Linked DNA regions of Danio rerio. Each later gene encodes a partner of the first gene's protein in a complex. Links are inferred from orthologs where the notes say so. Each region holds a gene or a part of one and is shown in the gene's direction. Other genes may lie near its edges.

Evidence for each region. The genes of interacting proteins can lie anywhere in the genome.
Region 2: the proteins of egln1a (region 1) and hif1ab are in contact, whole or in part, in a crystal structure (PDB 3HQR), measured with the Homo sapiens proteins. The link is inferred for Danio rerio from reciprocal best matches to the Homo sapiens genes EGLN1 and HIF1A. Residues at the interface, in NP_071334.1 of Homo sapiens: Gln239, Leu240, Val241, Ser242, Gln243, Lys244, Ile251, Arg252, Trp258, Lys262, Asp277, Ile280, Arg281, Ile292, Asn293, Gly294, Arg295, Thr296, Lys297, Tyr310, Val311, Arg312, His313, Val314, Asp315, Pro317, Asn318, Asp320, Arg322, Arg370; in NP_001521.1 of Homo sapiens: Leu559, Glu560, Met561, Leu562, Ala563, Pro564, Tyr565, Ile566, Pro567, Met568, Asp570, Asp571, Phe572, Gln573, Leu574.

The regions. Positions count from the first base shown.
Region 1 is NC_133188.1:53,017,872-53,023,383, forward strand, and holds part of egln1a (egl nine homolog 1), read left to right. Parts: intron 1-1,081; coding exon 1,082-1,201; intron 1,202-5,512. UniProt on the Homo sapiens protein: Cellular oxygen sensor that catalyzes, under normoxic conditions, the post-translational formation of 4-hydroxyproline in hypoxia-inducible factor (HIF) alpha proteins.
Region 2 is NC_133195.1:22,893,624-22,899,689, reverse strand, and holds the start of hif1ab (hypoxia inducible factor 1 subunit alpha b), read left to right. Parts: upstream 1-1,823; 5' UTR 1,824-2,211; coding exon 2,212-2,243; intron 2,244-6,066.

The DNA.
Region 1 (5,512 bases):
TAAATGCTTTATTAACTCAACTTCATCTAGTTTTGTGACCTAATCTAAAGTGAGGACTATTCATGCTTTATAAATCCTTTATAAATGACAAATAAAGGCTCAGTTAAATTCTAAACAAAAAGAATGACATTATTCATTCCTATTCATTTATTCGTCCTTCATAATGTCCTATTCGTTCATTTTAAATAAAAAATAAGTCTTTGCAACCTAATCTAAAATAAAATCACTGTAAAGTTTAAACATTGCATCTTATTATATTGTTAAATTACTATATTGTTGTTGTTGTTGTTGTTTTATCCAGTTGGATGTCGTATTTTGACACTCCTGTAATTCAGCAATGTTTAAACTTGATCAAAATTGTACTTTTTAGAAAAGATTGCAAAGATGTTTTGTTTATTTGATTCTGAGCCTTTATTTGTCATTTATAAGGGATTTATAAAGCATGAACAGTCCTCACTTTAGATTAGATCACAAAACTGCATGAAGTTGAGTTATTAAAACATTTATTAACATATTAGTTAACTATTAATATATGCCTGATTAATAAGATATATAAATGTTGATTTCAATAGTTTATTAATCATTTACTAACTCATTCTGAATCATCCTAAAACCATCAACTCCAAATGGTTTGTAAATAATGCAATACTTAATTTAGTAATGAAAAATAAATCATTAACTAAGTATGAAAATACGATTATTAAACACATTTTAAATATGTTTGTAAGTCAAGAATAGAGCATTTGTAGCTACAGTTATAAGCTGCTTACTAACGCTTATTAATGTAGAGTTTATGCTTAACAGATAATGAGTTCACTAGATGCTAATGCTTAATAAATGATTTATAGTGTGTAGTTATTATAAAGTGTTACCTATTTTTTTTTCTGCTGTTAAACACTGCAAAAAGTCAACAGGAGGGTTAAAACAGACGTCCTTTGGGAACATCATTTTGAAGTTGGATAAAGGGTTATACATTTACAATATTTCCCAAGAATATTGTAATATATTTAAAATCGCATCATGACACAAGTGATAATATCAACCCTGCTGACCTGTGAGTGTTTTCTGTGTTTTCTGGCAGGCGATGGTGGCGTGTTATCCGGGTAAAGGCACGGGTTATGTGCGCCATGTGGACAACCCGAATGGCGATGGGAGATGCGTCACGTGCATTTATTATCTTAATAAGAATTGGGATGCCAAGGTATGCAAGAAATCACAGATGTTATTTAATCCTCAAAGCTTCGACCTGAAAAATTTTGTTATTAAAAGGGACTCTCAAAATACACATTTGTTTACGTTTTTTTTTCTTCTATTATTATCATTTAGTTTGCCTAATTATCCTAATTAGCCTAGTTAAGCCTTTAAATGTCACTGTAAGCTGAATACTAGTATCTTGAAGAATATTTAGTCAAATATTATGTGCTTCCATCATGAAAAGACAAAGGAAATTAGTTATTAAAACTAATGCTAAAAATTAATACGTTAACAGTGTTATAAATTCAGATGTCTTTATTTAATTTCATTCATTTATTTTCCTTCAGCTTAGTCCCTTATTTATCAGTGGAATGAACCACCAACTAATCCAGTGTATGTTTTACACAACATATGCCCTTCCAGCAGCAACCCTGAACTGGAAAACACCTATACACTTTCACATTCACACACACACACACACACTCGTACACTACGGACAATTTAGTTTATTTAATAAATAAACTAAGGAGGAAACCCACGCCAACACGGGGAGAACATGCAAACTCCACACAGAAATCCCAACTGGTCCAGCCAGGACTTGAACCAGCGACTTTCTTGCTGTGAGGCGACTGTGCTAACCACTGAGCCACTGCCCAATTTCATTCATTCCAATGAAGTAAAAAAAAAGGTTTCTGAAAAAGTCTAAAAACAGAGGTCAATTATTTTTACAGCAGAACTCTTCATGTTTTGATTTCATACAATAATATACTTACACAAATCAAGTTTCTTATGTTATGCTTTGATTATATATGGAATCAAATATGGAAAATATTGTATATGGCATCGACTAAAACTGGAGTTTTGTTTAGTAATGTAACACTCACCGGCCACTTTAATAGGTACACCTGTCCAGCTGCTCGTTAATACGAATTTCTAATCAGCCAATCACATGGCAGCAACTCAATGCATTTAGGCATGTAGACATGGTCAAGACAATCTGCTGCACCAACACCATGAAAGCATGAATCCATCCTGCCTTGTATCAGCGGTTCAGGCTGGTGTATTGTTGCTGACCATGTCCACCACAGTGTACCCATCTTCTGATGGCTACTTCCAGCAGAATAACGCACCATAAAGCGTGAATCATCTCAGACTGGTTTCTTGAACATGACAATAAGTTCACTGTACTCAAATGGCCTCCACAGTCACCAGAACTCAATCCAATAATAGAGCAACCTTTGGGATGTGGTGGAACAGGAGATTGGCATCATGGATGTGCAGCCGACAAATCTGCAGCAACTGCGTGATGCTATCATGTCAATATGGAGCAAAATCTCTGAGGAATATTTCCAGTACCTTGCTGAATCTATGCCACAAATGATTAAGGAAGTTTTAAAGGAATAAGGGGTCCGACTGGGTACTGGTAAGGTGTACCTAATAAAGTGGCCGGTGAGAGAATATTTGTATATATAGTATTTTAAATGTACAAAAAATAAATAAATAAATAATAATAATAAATACACACACACACACACACACACACACACACACACACACACACACACACACACACAAGAATAAACCAATATTGTGCATCAGTACAGTACCATTTATTTGCAATTCATTCATTTATTTTTTTTTCGGGCGCCACAGCGGAATGAACCGCTAACTTATCCAGCAAGTTTTTACGCAGCGGATGACCTTCCAGCCGCAACCCATCACTGGGAAACATAAATACACACTCATTCACTCTCATACACTATGGACAATTTAGCCTACCCAATTCACCTGTACCACATCTTTGGACTTGTGGAGGAAACCCACGCGAACGCAGGGAGAACTTGCAAACTCCACACAGAAATGCAAACTGACCCAGCCGAGGCTCGAACCAGCGGCCTTCTTGCTGTGAGGCGACAGCACTACATGCTGCTCCACCGCATCGCCTATTTACAATTAATTTTGAAAACCAAACAAACATCTTGATTGTTTTATAAAATACCAGTTTGATCACACTCTAGATTTTAAATGTTGAAAAAAAAAAAGTTGAAAAAGTCTCAATGTTTGCTCAATGTTCTGAAGTTCTGACTGAAAGATGTTGTTGGCATTTTTAAAGCATGCTGTTTTCTGAGACGGTCATGAATGGCTTCTGCATACGTGCCGGTCGTGCTTCATTTCAGTCTAATCCCATTAACCTCTGAGATTGTAATCTCCAGAGAAAACCAGCAGGAGAGTTACTGAAACAGCTTAGAGAGTCATAAAAATGGAGCACGAGACTCAGTCAGAGGCAGAGACCATCAGTCATGTGATTAATGCACTAATACTGTAAAACCATTCACAGATTCTTCATGTGTTTCTTTACTCTCTGATTGCATTATAGTTTTATTTCATGCCTAGTATCTACACTGTAAAAAATGCTGGGTTCGACACAATTCCTTCATGTTGTCCCAACACAAATTTATTAAGTTAAATTAGTAATTTTTTTACAAATTAAGTGGATTCAGAAACAAAGTTAGATTAGTATTGTTCGTAACTCATTTTAAATAAGTAGTTTGAACAAGCAGCAAAAGTAATTTGTGAATGTGTAAATAATGCTGGGTTGTAGTCGAATATGGACAAACCCAACATTGGGTTGATTTTTTATTATTGGGTAAATCTAACTTTAACACTTTATAGTTTTTTTTCTAAAAATCTACTCTCAAAAAATATTTATTTGCTTTTACAAACAACTTTTAAAATGTTTTTACAATTTAAAACGAGCTGTAACAACACAATTCTTGAGATTTCATTGGGACAACTTGAATGTTTTATGTTCAATCCGCATAAAGTGTTATGCTGTGTTCACACCAGACGCGGTAGGAGCGTCAAGCGTGAGTGATTTAACTGTTAAACGTGCAATTAGACATCCTGTGGCGCGGTACGCGCAAATGACGCAAATTGCGCGGCACGAATGTCGCGATATGCGCGAATGACGCAGCGCGAATTGAACGTTTTGCGCAAATCGCTCGAGTTCAAAAATCTGAACTTCAGCAGACATTCGTGCCGCTTTAACCAATCATGAGCTTGCTCTTGTGGGGGCGTGATTGTGACATATTGACTGTTGTTGGTGTCCCGAGGTAAATCCTTCAGCCGACACCGACAACAGTGCATCAAACTGGGCTCGGCTCAGTCAGGAGCACCGCTGAAAGCCTCATCCAGCCGTCATCCAAGTTCAGTTTCTGGAGGAGTTTATGAGCTCAGCTGGATGCACCTCTGAAAGAATCTATTGGACTCAGACACAGCCCTAAACATATCGACACTGTTTTTCAGCCTTCATAAAACACATAAACACTGTTATTTTCTTAATAAAATCCATGTTAGCCATTTAGCAACAAAGCTAGAGTCACCGGGCAGACAGAAGCCCTGCCCATCACGCGAATCCGCGTCTGTTCTGAAGTGAATTTAACGCGCGAAAGAAGCAGGGTTTGACGCGCGAATATAGCGAGTAAACTCAAATGTTCACGCGACGATTTATCCGCGCGTTCCTCGTCTGGTGTGAACACAGCATTGTTGACTTAATGGATTTGGGTTTAGACAACATGAATGAATTGTGTGAAACCCAGCATTTTTTAATGCTTAAAAAGATTTTGTAGTATTAAAAAGATGTTTGAGGAAAAGCTGATGACATCAGAACGTTTTTATTTTCTCTCAAAAGGCAATGCAAATAAAGGTAAATGCTGGGTTGTGGACACCGAACGTTGAGTCAATTATAAACAAACTCAATGCTTAGAGTGTACCATATTTATAGAGAGGATCTCTCCCTCATTTGCATAAACAGCACTGAGTGAGAAGCAGCGTCATATTGGGCTGATATAAACACACCCAGTCCTTTTTTTTCAATTTAACAACATAAAAACGGTGGACCAATTGGAGTGGTTTTGAGACCGACCACAACTTGACGTAGGAGTGCGGTCCCCCCGCCCACTAAAATTGACTGACAGGCACGCATTACCATATCCTCAGTTTGTTGTTTCACGTCCACCAAAGAAACACCCTTGCTCTATTTTTGGATACACAATGAATGCAACATATTGAGATTCAGGCTATTAAAAACAGCTAATCCACCAAGTCTTTCAGCACTCTCTCCGAAAACACTCGATTGATCTCGACTGGCGGATCAACATTCATCACATGATCGCTCTCATAGGCACTATTGTTTGTAACTTTAGGTGGCTTTGCAAACCTGTGAACTTTTTATTGCGTCTTCCTTAAACTTCAACAGTTTGAATTTCCCGCGGTCACAGAAGCTCCCCGTCATCGTAACTAGGTGCGGCTGGAAAAT
Region 2 (6,066 bases), on another chromosome or scaffold:
AGGTGTGCAATGGGTGTGTCAGAAAGCGACCTGATTGGTCGATTTTTTCTTTACTCAAAAATAATTTAAATGTAATTTAAAAGTGGGTCATAATACGCCAAACTTACGTGGCCCACGTTAAATTGTTTTAACATCTGATCCAAATTCTACATTTTATATCTGCCCCAAGTCTTGTGTGCTGCCTTAAAGATGGTGCCACCTCTGCCAAACCTGGGCCATGTTTGGCCCACATGCTGTATACCAGAGCCGGACGAACACCTGCTGTGCCAGCTTTATGTCAAATCTGGGCCAGAATTCTTTGCTACCAGGGGATATAACATTTGCACAAGTGGACAATAATGTTATATTTTACAAGCTTGAGTTGGCCGATTCTGATTTACTGTCAATGTTTTATTGCTCATCAGAAGGAGGGGAAATAATTTCCTGACAATTTGGAAAATGATTTGGCATTTGGATCATTTGAATGTGAAAAAACTTTCATTAATTATGTGTTTTAGTTATTCCTTTACCCAAAAATGTTGTTTTTGGGACTCTGAAAATGCAACCTTTGAAAATTTGTATCAAATAATGTTGCTGCAATGATTAGCCCTGCTGCCTCACAGCAAGAAGGTTGCTGACTCAAATCCTGGCTGAATGAGCATTTCTGTGTGGAGTGTGCATGTTCTCACTGTGTTCGCGTGAGTTTCCCTCACAGTCCAAAAACATGCGGTATAGGTGAATTGGATGAACTAAATTGGCCATAGTGTATGTGTGCGTGTGTGAATGTGAAAGTGTATGGGTGTTTCCCAGTACTGGGCTGTGGCTGGAAGAGCATCCGCTGCGTAAAACAAAAGTTGGAATAGTGGTGGTTCATTCTGCTGTGGCGAATATGAATGAATACTTCAATGATGAATCCAAAAAAACAAAACAAAATAATATCTAGGTATTTATTTGCTTTATCGCAGGTTGTGGTAAATTTACTTTTTTTTAAATTAATTTGTTGGAAAAGAAATTAAAGACATCCACTGCATTTTACTTTTTTTCTTGCTATTATGCCCTGACTATATGTAGCCTTGCTCTGCGTTTTTGCTCTAATTTATTTGACTTTTTTTGTGCACTGTGTAAATGTACCCTGCAAGTGATTTTTTATAAAACAGTTCAAACACAAACTAAAAGATTCATTGAAAGCCTTTTTAAATTTTGGCTTAACGTTTTAACTATTAGTTTTTAAAGTGTTGTTTTACTTATCGAGCTTTTACAGGTTTGTGAATACAATCTGTCTGGATGGTTTCTATGGTATGGTTAAACAGATCATGCCAGAGTTGTTAAATGGCTGCTAGATTATTTAAGCCTGGTTGCTGGTGGTTTCTAATTGTTTCCAGGGTGTTCTGGATGTTTGGTAGTTAAATTTCATTATTTTATTGTCTTTTTTTCTTTGTCACATTTTTTTCTATGCCATACCAGTGCAATAGGCTACTTCTTTAAAAATATAACTTACTTTTTATGCAAAAAGTAATATTTGCAGTTTTTTGTTTTGTACTTATTCTACTGTATTTTCATTGTAATTTCCTGTTATTGCAATAAAAATGCTTGTTAGTTGAAGTTTTTTTAGTTAGGTGTTCTGGTTGCAGATTAGCACAATTATTTTGAAAACTAGGCCAATTGTCTTCAGTTACAAACTATTTTTGTTTTCAAAAATGACTTGCTAAATATAGACAATATTATTGTGGAACTATTGATAAACTTGAGGGATGGTTTACCGGACACGGACGTAATTTTAATTTACGACAAAGTCAAATCAATGGTGTTGATTACGCCATACGGAGGTCGATTGGCCTGCTGGTGGACTGGTGTGCCATCAGTTTTGTGATGGGTTTCGAAGTGCGACACCGCTGTCTGAATGCGCTCGCTCCCGTCAGAGCCTCGTGAGCGCGCGAGGCACAGTGAGAGTAGTCAGAGCGCAGGCACGGTTTAACTCTTTGTACCGACCAGAAGCTGCACCGACCGGTGCCAAACAAATGATTTGACCTTCAGCGAACCGGAGGGTTGATCTTTACCATTCTGACACTTTCAACATACCACACGAGACCTGACCCGGATTATTAGTTCGCGTCTGGCCGTTTTCTTTAATAAACGCGTTTTTATTTGTTAGCAAAAGGTGGCCACGTCCTTGATTTTCTGGCCTCGCGGTTCGGAGAAAACCTAACACATACTGAGTGGTTTCACCCAGGAATGGATACTGGAGTTGTCACTGAAAAGAAAAGGTAGGGATTCCCGTTTTTGCTTGGAAGAAAGCGATATGTTGCGTAGTGTTTTGTGTAGTAAACGGGCCGGAATATCTTCATCTCCCGTCACACTGAACGTGTCGCCATTTTGTGCTGTATTGCTAACCAAACAACTGAGAACAGGTTTAAAGCTCTCTTTCCCCACAATTGTCTTTAAACGGACATTAAAGGTTGTTATAAACAATTCAAGAAATTATATTTGTTGCTCTGTGACGTATTATTTGTCTTTATTTGAGGTAGCATAATGTCTAACGTAAGTGTCTGCTTGTGGATAGAAGCTAACAAACTAGCAACATGCAACTTCCCCTGATTTATTGCGTATACCTCTTTAAACAGTTTATACAGTTTAGACATATTTAGTCCCTAGGGGAGTGTATTAACACACTGTTTAAATAGGAATATACAGCTTTGAGCATACATGTCAAATTAATTCTTATATTTAATGCATACAGAATACAGAAGGCTCTTTTTCCATAGTGCATTGGCCAGACAGCTGTACGTCTGTATAATAGAGGAGGAATTAAATGGCATATGCTAGTTGCCTGGCCAGTGGATATTAATTGTGTATTTTGTACCTGAATCAAATGTATCAAAACGTTTGATACAGTTTTTTTGAGAGTTATGTGAGAAATGGATTGGTTTAGTAATATGATTGATCGATTCTTTACCCCTCATACTCCTTGACCCTACATGTCAGATCAACCCGTTGCCCTTCTTCGGCCAGCCAGTCTGGCATATTTGTGGATAAAGGATTGGAAGCAGGAATCCATCCTTGGATTTTGCTGACAGTCTTCTTCTTTGTCAAGCCTGTCATCAGTGTGGGCTCAAATGAGAGCAGATGGAAATAAATGTTGTTATTACTAATGCTGGAAAACGTTGCTTGGATTTCTCTGTACGAGTGCAATTACAAAAGGGATAATACTGACATAGCCATGTTAAAGCTCAGATCTAGTGTGTCATTTTGGATTGGAAGAAAGTCAGACTCAGGTTGATGAACAGGAGGTATTATCTTGAGATTTTTCTTATTGTGTATGTTTTAATTATTTGTGCTTTGCTTCATAAAAAAAAAAAAGCTGTTAACAAAATCTTTACTAACAAATAGGGCTATGATTTTCCATGTTTGGTTTTTAGAGCCAGTTGCAAAGACTAAGATTAAAAACCTTTTTGGATGTATGTTTTCATAGTATCAATCCTGCCTTCTGAGGGGATTTACATTTATACATTTGGCAGATTTATCTATTTTCTCCCTAAGAAACATGTTCAGCTTTGAAATTTATGCATGTTAATTTTGCTAGATAACCAGTGATCTTGCTATCTTGTGATCCACTGTTTGAGATTTGGGAAAGCACTCGAATGAGCTTGTCCATATATTTTTTGTTTAAAAAGTAAAAAAAAGTTATTTTTATTATTAAAAGTTGCAGTGTACTTGTGTTAATTGACTTATAGTCTGTAAAATATTAAGTTGAAATAAGTTTTCTTGTAATTTTTGGTGAATTGTTGAGTCCAGATTTTTAACAAGCAAAAATCTTCTTGCCTTGACAGCACAGTTTTCTTGATTCGACACTGTTTTTGGGGGAATATTATCTTCTGACGCTATTTTTGTTGGCATCCAAGTTCAAGCAGCAACATGCTTTTGTATCTCTTCTCTAAAATCTTAATCACTCTCTGCATTGACGTCAAAGCAACTTCCTGCCCAGTCTTGTGGCAAGACAGCTGCAAGACTTTTGTCAGTGTAAATGCTGAAATTAGTTTAAATGTTGATAGTGGTGTTATAAACCTTGGGTTAATGGGGTGCCTATTGATTCTGTTTCTGTGTGTCACCTGTCAAGGTCTAACTTGTGATCCATAGAAATCCAATTAGTTGGACTGGAAATCATGTCTTAGAACTAACTACCATTCACACTTAAGTTTTAGTTTGCTGAGAAATATTCAACAAGGTGTTTTTAGTGGCCTTTAAATCACATAATATATCATTATGTAGTTATTATGTAGTGATGTAAGCATTAAAAAGCTTGAGACTTTAGATATGCAAGCACAGCTTTACATTGTCGAGCTGTTTTAAAATGTAATACATGTGTGTTGACAACAAAAGCTCAAATGATAAAAGAAAAAAAAAAAAATTAAATGCACCAATGCTTTAAATGTTACTAAGGGGTCATTTACATGGTTTTAACTAAAACCAAAAGGACAAAAAATTGAGTCTCTGTTTACATGCACAAAATAAGCAGAAATCTATAAAAAAATTTAAAAAATGTATTTACATTCAAATTAATACCTGTTTATCAGAAAACTGCATTTACTTGAGATTTAGGGCTGCACAATATCGTTTTAGCATCGATATTGCAATGTGCAGGTCCACAATAGTCAAATAGCAACGAGATGCAATGTTGAGCAGTATTTCGCTGTATTTGTACAGAATTTATATGATTATGCAAAAAAAAGTCTTAGTTACAATTTTTATCTTGTTTCTAGTCCAAGTATCTACATTTCAAAGTGAAAACCAGATTATTTCATTTACCAAAGTGGCAGATAATTTAGCTTGTTTTAAAGAAAATCTTTTTAATTGTGACTTGTCTGTGAAAACAAAACAATATTGTTACTTGCTTCAATTTCTGTACCTGCATACTGTTAGACTCCCCTTAAAACTATCAGATAGTGCTATTCAAACTATATTGTGAATTGGTATTCATATCGCTATATTTATAGCAAAAAAATAAAATATCGCAATATTCTTTTCCATTATTGTGCAGTGGTAATGAGATTGTGAGGCAAATTTCTCACTGAAGTGAAGTCACAGATAAATAACATCAGAAGCTCAAAAATGTCAACTGGAAATCTGTCAGAACAGAAGCTGTGCTTTGTATGTTATCACTTTTTTAAAGTTTTGATGCATTAACCACATGCGTGAGTCAATGACACAATTTCATGCTTTATTAAAAATATTTATAAAGGCTGCAAAACCAAAACTCCAAAAATAGATGTTTTGAGCACACCGGCTTTTCCTCAGACATTTTGTGTAGTGTGTGCTTGAAACATTGTACACTTTGTGATGGCCTTTTTAGTGATAAATGTATATTTTTAGAGCTTTGGTGCTGCTGCTTTTATAAATATTTTTGCACTTTTTGTTTGGCTAAGCACCGATTTAGATTTATGTGCCTGCTTTTGTGCATTTTATTAATTTTTCGACATTTTTTAATGCTTTATTAAAACAAGAAAGGGCCGTAGTGTATAAAACATTACTGCTGCGCTGCCCCTTACATGTCTGGTGCTCAAGCTGGATGCGTGTCGGCAGTGTAGACTGGTGAGCAGTTAGTCTTGATGAAATTCACAGATCACGGTTGGAAAGAAATCCATGTGTGACGTATTTCACATGCACAATCGGACCTGTGCACATGAATAAACTATATGAACACAGAAAAAGACCTTTAAAACTACCTGATATTGTTTGAACTTTTTGTGACCTTTTAACCCATTAAAGAAATCTGGTTAAAGCTTTTACATGACATGTCAACATAATTCTTTTGGGGATCTGAATAGACAAACTACTTTTTTTCATATTAAGCCTAAAAAACTTGCTAAAACAATGTCATGCAGTTACATGCTATGTATTAGGTCTAGACTAATTAGATAAATTTACTAATTTATTAGTCATAGCTGACAATACCATTTCTGTCAGATTTTTCTTTTTTTGGAAGCGGACTGGCATGGTTTTTGCATCGCAGTGTAAAAAAAAATTACATCGAAATAGACGGTTAAGTTTGTCACATGACAAACTCCAACTTTGTAGGCAAATTGACATAGA